Drosophila melanogaster: one gene and its partner. The protein of the gene in region 1 interacts with the protein of each later gene in a pairwise test. Each region holds a gene or a part of one and is shown in the gene's direction. Other genes may lie near its edges.

Evidence for each region. The genes of interacting proteins can lie anywhere in the genome.
Region 2: the proteins of Cyp4p2 (region 1) and por interact in a two-hybrid assay, tested with the Drosophila melanogaster proteins (one large-scale study listed by BioGRID).

Annotation. Positions count from the first base shown.
Region 1 is NT_033778.4:9,235,681-9,240,494, forward strand, and holds Cyp4p2 (cytochrome P450 4p2), read left to right. Parts: upstream 1-1,831; 5' UTR 1,832-1,871; coding exon 1,872-2,076; intron 2,077-2,156; coding exon 2,157-2,357; intron 2,358-2,411; coding exon 2,412-2,493; intron 2,494-2,650; coding exon 2,651-2,751; intron 2,752-2,809; coding exon 2,810-3,080; intron 3,081-3,138; coding exon 3,139-3,359; intron 3,360-3,423; coding exon 3,424-3,738; intron 3,739-3,810; coding exon 3,811-3,977; 3' UTR 3,978-4,151; downstream 4,152-4,814. Other genes in the region: Cyp4p1 (cytochrome P450 4p1), read left to right, coding at 4,402-4,600, 4,660-4,814. UniProt on the Drosophila melanogaster protein: May be involved in the metabolism of insect hormones and in the breakdown of synthetic insecticides.
Region 2 is NC_004354.4:18,376,866-18,381,813, reverse strand, and holds por (porcupine), read left to right. Parts: upstream 1-1,959; 5' UTR 1,960-2,060; coding exon 2,061-3,638; 3' UTR 3,639-3,687; exon of another isoform or gene 3,688-3,764; 3' UTR 3,765-4,293; downstream 4,294-4,948. Other genes in the region: betaCOP (coat protein (coatomer) beta), read left to right, coding at 41-106; CG6179 (uncharacterized protein), read right to left, coding at 581-652, 715-823, 884-1,626. UniProt on the Drosophila melanogaster protein: Protein-serine O-palmitoleoyltransferase that acts as a key regulator of the Wnt signaling pathway by mediating the attachment of palmitoleate, a 16-carbon monounsaturated fatty acid (C16:1(9Z)), to Wnt proteins.

The DNA of each region.
Region 1 (4,814 bases):
CTTTAATTGGTGTTAAAGTAAATATGTTAGTAATTATTTATAATAATAGACATTATAATATCACTTAGGCAAACAAAATTGCCATTTAGAAGTAATGAAATTATATAGCAGAGGCAACAATGTCTCAATCCATTGAATAAATCATTCAATAATCGCTAGTTTGCCTCAGTGAGGGTTTGCCAAACGAATTCACCCAAGACTTTGGCTTGACTGGAGGTAATGCAATTTCAAGTTTGCCAGAAACTCTTGCCATAAATATTTCATATGTGATCTAATTTGATAACTTGGCCTGGCTGGGAAGAACTTTCCACTTGACGTCGCCAGACTTTGAGTGCCATCGAAATTGCAAATTTCCAATATGCATTTGGAATGCAGGCAAGTAATCAGGAGGCGGAGTGGGCGGCGCAGAAGGTCGTGGCCCAAACGCACAGCTCAAGTTTCAATTTTACATGAGAGATGGAGGCCATGAGGAACTCGAGCAGAAACAGAGTCAGAGTCAGAGTCGGAATCGGAATCAAAATCAGGATTTCAGTCAGCTGCAGCGGAGAGCTCTAAAGTCGTGGCAGCATTTTCCGTTTTCCGCCATTTCCATCTCCAGTCGGCCTTCGGTAATCGCCGACGGTGGAATTAAAGTTTTCCCAGCCCAGCTCCGCCCTTTCCACACTTTTCCTTTTGTCCGTAACGTGTCATGCACTTTGTCGGAAAGTAGGTCGAGTGATGTATAATGGCGCTGGCAAATAAAATCACAGAATGCCATGTAATTGATGAATTGCAATCGCCAATTAGCAGTCCGGGCAAATGCAACAGAATGACAAAGGAAAAATGAGCTAAGGGCATCGGACACTGCCACTCAGTTGATTAAGGTGAAAGATACAAGTTAACTTTTTAAATATGCCATCTATATGAAATACTTTTAACAAAAGTTTAATGTTACCTAAAGCGAGAGTTTTAGCTGGATGTTTTATAAAGTAAAATTGCAATGCAATCATGCAATGAGAACTTTTTGCTGCATTCATGTTTATTCAGTTAAGCTAACAAACATAACATTTTATGGTATATAAGTTAAGTTTATTAAGTTAATAATTATCTCATAGCTGTGGTCTTGAACAGTTCATGAAAATAGCCTCAGATCTTGTATATTCAATGTGGATTGGGTATCATTTCATTAAAGTACTCCGATGATGTTTTTGGCATTTTTCACAAGCTCTGCTTTCGAGTTATTAAATGGCCCATTAAAGGCAAAAAAAAATATTTTATACGGGTTTTCTTACTACTGCAAATGACTTTAGCACGCTGTCGACCAAAACGACTTTAATGATCATTTGACTTCAATTCAAGATTTACGTTTTGTACCGTAAATAAATATAGTCAGTTCCTCGACTATTAGATTCCTGTTACTCAGCTGGTGGGAGTTTGAAGTAAATTTGTTAGGCATCTCGATGGAAATTAGCTGGGAAATTACAGATTTTGAATTTATAAGCCCAATTATCGGTTGTGAGAAATGTGTTTGATTTAGAGATAAATTATTCACTACTAAAGATTATTGCAAAGCACATTGAGCTTTAATAAATAAATGTGAACATTCTAGTGTATCGATTAAAATTAGACACCAATGAAAAGCTTATTGGGTGAACGTGAGATTAAATATCGACCAGCGGAGCGAAGAAACCAGCACACAAAAAAAAAAAATATATTCATACATGGGTACACTATTTATACTAACTTTATAAAATAGATCCAAATCTAATCAATTCTGTGCCGGTTCTCTGCGTTGCTGATAGTAAAAAGCTCGCGTGGATCGAGAGCGGGGAACTAAAAAAACAAGACCAAAACAGTGCTGAGAGCGAAGCCCACCGATCCAGTTCGCCCACATGATGATTTGTCTTCTGTGGATTTCGGTGGCCATACTTGTGGTCATCCACTGGATCTATAAGGTAAACAAAGACTACAATATCCTGGCCTTTTTCGCCCGAAGGGTTCAAACCAAGGATGGCAAACCATTGGACAGCTTAGTGCCCATGATCAAGGGCCGAACTGTGTTCGCCAACTGCTTCGATCTCTTAGGAAAAGACACTGGTTCGTAGAAGGTGAACATTGACATCGGGCTTCTTATCTTTATAAGACTTCTTTTCCCCTTGGTCTATTCGCATAAGTAGACCAGGTATTTACTCACTTACGCCAGTTGGCGAAGAACAGCGGAGACAGTTATCTGCAGTACTCCATGGGGTTTTCCAACTTCAATGTTATAGATGCGCATAATGCAGCGAACATATTGAATCATCCTAATCTGATAACGAAGGGTGTAATATATAATTTTCTTCACCCTTTCCTAAGAACTGGCGTTCTAACAGCGACAGGTGAGAAACGAAATCTGAAAAATGGAATGCTGGATCTAAAATTCTTTATTGCAGAAAAGAAATGGCACACGCGACGCAGTATGCTCACTAGGACATTCCATTTGGATATATTGAACCAGTTCCAAGAAATCTTTATGTAAGTGCCTTTCGTAACAATTTTTATTTTACAATATTATGGACTTTGGATAAGCAGTCATCTTTGTCTTACATTTGTGTTATTTTCCTTATTGTATGAACAGGCTTACATACTTATGAATGAATCAATTAAACTTTTATAAATTTTCTTTTTTCAGAGCGGAGAGCTTGAAGTTCGTAAGTCAGTTCCAAGGACAAAATGAAGTTGTGGTTTCTTTGAAGGACCGCATATCCCGATTTACCCTAAATAGCATTTGTGGTACCTAAAGATTTAATGTTTATAGTGGCTCTTTAACAATCAGTGATTTCTTACATAGAAACTGCCATGGGAATCAAACTGGATGAAATGGCAGAGAAGGGCGATCGCTACAGGGCGAACTTTCACATAATCGACGAAGGACTTACCAGGCGCATAGTAAACCCGCTCTATTGGGACGATTGTGTATACAACATGTTCACGGGACACAAGTACAACGCAGCTCTAAAAGTGGTACACGAATTTTCCAGAGAGATAATCGCAAAACGCAGAGTACTACTTGAAGAGGAGCTGGAAAATAGAAGAGCCACTCAAACGGCTGACGATGATATGTGAGCTTATTTTGAAATTACTTATTCACATTAATAAACTTCCTCTCTCGAAAACCAGATGCGTGATTAGAAAGAAACGCTTCGCCATGCTGGACACCTTGATTTGCGCCGAAAAGGATGGACTAATCGACGATATTGGGATTTCTGAGGAGGTGGACACGCTGATGGCTGAAGGTTACGATACCACATCCATTGGTCTGGTCTTTGGCCTAATGAATATGTCTCTATATGCCGCTGAACAGGAACTGTGCTACCAAGAGATCCAGGAGCACATTCTGGGTAAATCAGTTCGCTGCAATCGTAATCGTGAGAATCATAAATTTTATTCTTCGTACCGTTCTAGACGACCTGAGCAACCTGAACCTAAGTCAACTAAGTAAACTAAATTATCTGGGCTACTTTATAAAGGAAACCATGCGCCTGTATCCTTCGATTCCCATCATGGGTCGTCAGACACTCCAGGAAACGGAACTAGAGAATGGCCTAATCCTGCCGAAGCGCTCTCAGATTAATATACACGTCTTTGACATCCATCGCAATCCCAAGTATTGGGAATCGCCCGAAGAATTCCGCCCAGAGCGATTCCTACCTCAGAACTGCCTGAAAAGGCATCCTTACGCCTACATTCCCTTCAGTGCTGGACAAAGGAACTGCATAGGTAAGAGTACAAGTCTTCAAAATATACGGTTCTCATACATATGTGTATTATCTATCTCTTTTAACCACAAAGGCCAGAAGTACGCCATGCAGGAGATGAAGACCCTGATGGTGGTCATCCTCAAGCATTTCAAGATTCTGCCTGTTATCGATCCCAAGTCCATTGTCTTCCAAGTGGGCATAACCTTGCGCTTCAAAAATAAAATAAAAGTCAAGCTTGTGAGGCGGAATTGCGTTTAGTGTTTATCGATTTTAGGATATTCCTTATTCATGCTTACTAAGTGCTAAATTGATTTAAGTGCGTTGTTGATATTAGATGACTAATTAACCCTGACTCTCCAGTGCTAATCGTCGTAGCTTGGAGCCATACATTGGACGAATATTGTTAACAATAAAACCGGTTATCCCACATTCAAATGAAACAAGCTTTCATTCAAACAAACTAGCAAGTCATTCATTGTTTTTGTTAGATGAATTCAACCACAAATCGTAGCTAGTCGAACGCCAACAGCGGGAACGCCACCGTGCAATCTAATCAGTTCAAGCAGCTTTTAGGTGTAATTTTTGCTACAAAACCGGCTGATAGTATGAGCTGTTTATATAGAAATCTGCGATAGGTGCAATCAGTGTGAAACGAGAGTTCCGTCAACGCGGTTGTGCCAAAATGATTATCTTGTGGCTGATTCTGGCCCTAAGTGCCCTGCTCTACTGGCTCCACAGAGCCAACAAGGATTACCACATCCTGTCCTTCTTCACCAAAAGAATTCGATTAAAGGATGGAACCCCTGTGGAGATCATCGCTCCCATAGCCAAGGGAAAAACAATATTCGGCAACACCCTTGACTTGTATGGGCGAGATCACGGTGAGTAATAGCAAAAGCCGAACGCTGGACCCCATTTGGCTGATGTAATGACTGTCTAGCTGGTGTTTTCAATTACTCGCGTGAGCGTGCTAAGGAAATGGGTACTAGCTACATAGAATATGTCTTTGGAAAGGCGATTTACAACATTATCGATGCGGATAGCGCGGAAAATGTGCTGAATCATCCGAATCTCATAACCAAGGGGCTCGTCTAC
Region 2 (4,948 bases), on another chromosome or scaffold:
CTTTCTAATCCGTATTCCGTATTTCGCGCCTTTCACACAGGGCATGGCCTTGAGTCTGGGCGACAAGATCAGCTCCTCGCAGAAGCAGTCGGTGCAGGCGGCCTAGTGGACGTGGAACTGGACGTGGACGACCAGCCACCAGCAGGAGCGACGTATCTAGACGACGTACTCGGCCACCTGCCCGCATTCCGCCAGCTGCAGCTTCTTCAATTTACATTACACGTTACAATTATACATAAAGAATATAATATTATACCTTAACCCCAAGATTGGCAGTGGTTTCATTTGACGGGGCTGTTTCCATAGAAATTCGGACTACTGGTTAATTGGTTGTGTGGTACGAGTATCAGTGTATTTATTTTGTTTTTTCCTATTTAACAATAAGTATGTATGCACTTCGTCTTGCAATAAACGAAAAGGTAGAATTGGAACAGATAAAATACCCAAGTTTTGTATAAGTTATGATACACAATTGTTTTAAAATCTGGAGAAATAATTGATTGTTTAAACTAGCTAGTGCTAAAACGATTACATTTCTATTGAAGTGCTCCCAAGTAGCTGGCGGCTATATAAATTCGTCTTAGGCCTGGAGCATGGGCCGTTTTTCCTTGGCCTGGAGGTGGTCGTTCGTCGTTGCGTAGCCAGTGCCGCCCTGTGAAATAGTCGAGAAACCTTAGCAATGCAGAATAGTTGCACAGTTCGCGATGTACTTACTCGCTGCAGGGGAATGATGTCCTTCTCCTTGAGCTTGCGATCCGTGAGCGGATGGATCATGTCCTTTCTGATCAGCCGTTCCACGCACTCCATGGTCACCACATCGCCACTGTAGTGAAGAGGTTACTATTAAAAGGGTTTTCAACGCGAAATCCCAGCGAGCACTCACGTGGGACGCAGCACAGCGCAGGGCACCGCGTTGCTGAGCACGTCGTGGGTAATGGGGCACATGTAGCGCGCCTCCTTGGCAATCAGCGAGCGCTTCGTGTCGCCGTCCTTGAGCAGCGTGAACTTCACATCAATCAGATCCTTGACTCGCAGCGGTTTCTGCGACACCGGGCAGTAGATGGTGGCGTCGGGCTTCTGGGCCTTGGCTAACCCGGCATTGGGGCACTCGGAGGGCAGCCAGAAGCTGGGCAGCTTCTTCTCGTGCCCGTTGGTCATGTTGGATATCGAGGATGCGGACGAGGATTCAGATGAAGCGGCAGCAGCGGCGGAAGAGGTCGACGGCTTCTCGCTGGCAGCGGCCGAGGAGTGGGCGGGTGTCATCGCTGGCTTCTCGGCATTAACAAAGCGCTCCATGCGCGCCTGCTGCTTGCTGTTGGCCTCCTGGCTCAGTTTATCCTCCTCCGCGCGCCGCAGACGCTCGTACTCCTTCAGTCGGCGGCTGTACTCGTTCTTCTTGGTCACGATGTACTGCAGGATGGCCTCCTTGTCGAATAGATAGCCATCCTTGGTGATCACTGGCCTGCGACATGGTTGCAGCGTCAAGGAGCAGCAGTCGAAGGATTTCACCGAATCCTTGCCCAGGCGCTGGGCATTCGTGCCGTAGCCGGACTCCGCCGCGTCACGCTTCTTCTCGTTGTAGGTGTACACGGCTCCGGCCGTGCAGTTACGTGCGTGGCGAGTCATTTCAATAGAGTTTCCTGGATTTGGCAGCGAAAAATTTGAATAAACTGCTTAAAATAGTTTATTTACTGCTAGATACGGTGTGACCGTATCTTGATCACTAAATAAGCTGAGACGCAATGGAAATCCGCTGAAATCTGCCAACTCAATAGCCGATAAAAACAACGAGCTATAAGCTGATACAAAACCTTTTCATCACTTGGTGTACAAAACAAACAGTTTTACAAGTTTAATACATTTTTTTTTATTTTGATTTTTAAAACTGTTTAAGCTACTGGTATTTTCAGCTTAGCTATAAACTAGCTATGAGTTCGAAGCCACCGATGTGGTATTTTCGGTATATTGCGCGGTATATTCTTTGCAAATAATTCCAAGTCCTCGGATTTCCGGGTTTTTCCTTGATTCCCCCGGATTGTATTGGCTTTGGGCGGCCGGCGATGGACTACCAGTACTTCGAGGAGGAATCGGACTACATTGATCTGGACGAGGAGGAGGAGGATGACGACGTGGTGACAGCCGGCAGCTTGGACCACAGATTTGGGCAGCCAAACGGCGAGGAGGACTATTATTTCGGCGGGGACGATGTGGAGGAGGAGCTGGTGGTAGATGGACACGGTGTCCTGGAGCTGGCCGGGCGCCTACTCGAGAGCCTGCAGAGCTGCGTGCAGCCATCTGTGCTGCAGGTCATGCAGTATGTGGCGCCCATGCTGCTCCTCTGCCTCCTGTGCCGCCTGCTGTGCCTCCTCTACTCGCAGCGCAGACGCCTCACCAGCCTGGCACCGCTGCATTTGTTCCACTTCGCCTGCGGCTTGATTATACTGCAGATCACGGTGGGCTACCGACTGCTCCTACTTCTCCTGCTGGCCGCCGTGGGCTACCTGCTGCTCCAGCTATTGCGACTGGGACGAAGAGGAGCTCAAGTTCTGGCCGTTCTAACCGTGGGCAGCCAGTTCCTGTACGAACTGCTCATTTGGCGGCGGCGCAGTGACTGGCCACAGCTGCGCGGCATCCAGATGGTGGTCAATATGAAGCTTATCTCGCTGGGCTTCGACCTGACCGCCAGTGGGCAGCTGCAGGCGAGGATTCCGGGTCCGTTTGCCTACCTGGGCTACATCTACAGTCCGGCCACCTGCGCCTTGGGGCCCTGGGTGAGCTTCGGCTGCTACATGGACTGTCTGGTGCCACGGAATAGCTGGCTGGTCAGCCTGCGTCGCCTCTTGCCCAACGTGGTGATCTGCGTGCTGGCCGTGACCGTGTCCAATTGCGTGGCTCCGGCGCTGAGTGACTTCTTCGGGGATAGCTCGCACTTCCTGGTCATGTACTGGGACGCACTGAGTGTGCGCAGCAGCCACTACTTTGTGGGCATGATGGCGCAGGCGCTGCTGGTAGCCTCCGATCAGCGACTGGACGGTGCCACCAAGGAGTCGGACATGCTGGGTCCGTTGATCTCGCAGCCCTGGCGCATCGAGTGGCCGCGCTCGATCAGCTCATTGGTCCGGAGCTGGAACATTCCCATGCACGAGTGGCTCAAACGGTACATCTACGCGCCCTGCAAGCCCACCGCGTCCACCTCGAGGGGACGCATCCTGGTGGTCGTGCTCTCCACCTATCTGGTGTCCAGCCTGCTGCACGGCATGGATCTGCGCATCTATCTGGTGCTCATCTCGCTGGCGTTCCTAGCCGAGGGTGAATCGCTGCTCAGGCGGCAGCTCGCCAGCCTCCTGAATGCCTGCATCACTGCCAATCTGTGTCCGGGCAAGGAACGATGTCGGTATAGCCACTGCCCGAGCAAACGGCGATTGAACTCCCTGTCCTACTGGCTGGCGAGGCTCACTAATCTGGCATTCACGGCGCTGGCCATCTTCCACCTGGCCTATCTGGGCGTCGTGCTGCTGGGCGATGACCTGGAAGTCGGCGAGGATGGCGACTCCTTCCTGTGGCACTGGCAGCAGGCTGGCTATCTCAGCCACTACATCGGTTTGGGCACCTTCGTCCTTTACCTGTTCATCTCGTAGACTCCGCAGGATCTTGCCGTCGCCAATACTCACTATGACTGATCTACACGTATTTATATTTGTAATCCCAAGCGTATATGCGCTTGTACTTTTTGTATCTTGTATCTATCTATTCGTATCTTGTAGTCTGTGTGCTGTGTGAGTACTTAATATTAAAGCATTCTGTGAAACGGACGCTGTGACGCGCTTCAATTTGGGTTCCTCTCAACTTCCAGCTGAATGGATAGCACTCCTGGGGGAAACTGGAACAAACGAATTTCCAACTGCCCCAAAGCCACCCCATCCATCCTGATGAAAATGCATACGAATTTGTTCAAATATTTTTTATTGATTTTTTAATGTATATTTTTCTTTGTTGTTGGTTTTGTTTTGCTTTTGTTTGTTTGTTGGTTGGTTGTTTTCGTTTGTTTGTTTTCTCATTGAGACAAATATTTATAACAATATTGTAATTTCTACAGATTTTTCGCCTGCGTTTGTATTTGCCATCCTTTTAGTTTCGGCACGCGATTTATTATGAATCCTTTTTTGTATTGGGCTGTGGCCTATCGTTTGTGTTTTCATTTACTTTGTTTTTCCGCGCTTACGATTTAGTTATTAAAAGTACTAGCTTAAGAAATATGCAATGACAATAAAAATATTTTTATTTACTTTGTTGAATGCAACTTTTGTTGGTTTCATTTGCCCTTTTTTCAGCGTTCCCCCTTCTCTGACTTGGCCAAAAAAAGCTGATCTCCTCCAAACTTCGCCCTTCGTTTTTGTTTTTGCTTGTGTTTCGGTTTTTTTTAGATTTCTTTTTGTTTACTCTGCTTTCCATTTTTTTTTCTCGGAAATTTGGATTCGGACATCAAAAATAGAGCGATATACAATACAGGGTTTTCTTATGGTTTCATTTCCGTTTCCGGTGCTTCATTTCGACATTGTTTCCGTTGCGCTATGCTAGATAAAAAAGTTCGATCTCTGTACCCGAATTCATCATTAATTTATCGTATTTGTCCGTCCCTTCGTCTCTTTTCTACCATTTCATAACAACAACTGAGTCGATCACAAGAGATAACGAGAGTGTTTGCCATCTATATATATATATATATATATATATAAATAGATATATAGATATAGATATATAAATCTGTAGCCACGCGTGTGTTCCGGCCAAGATCGTTCCCTTTCGATTCCGAACTGGATTCACGGTAGCGTGCAGAATTGTCTGCTTAACCAGGTTCTTTGGGAGCGGAGAGGGTTCGTTTAAAATTACGTAACAAAGTGTTTGAATATTTAACTCCATGCCCAAATCCCAGACAATCAATTCATCC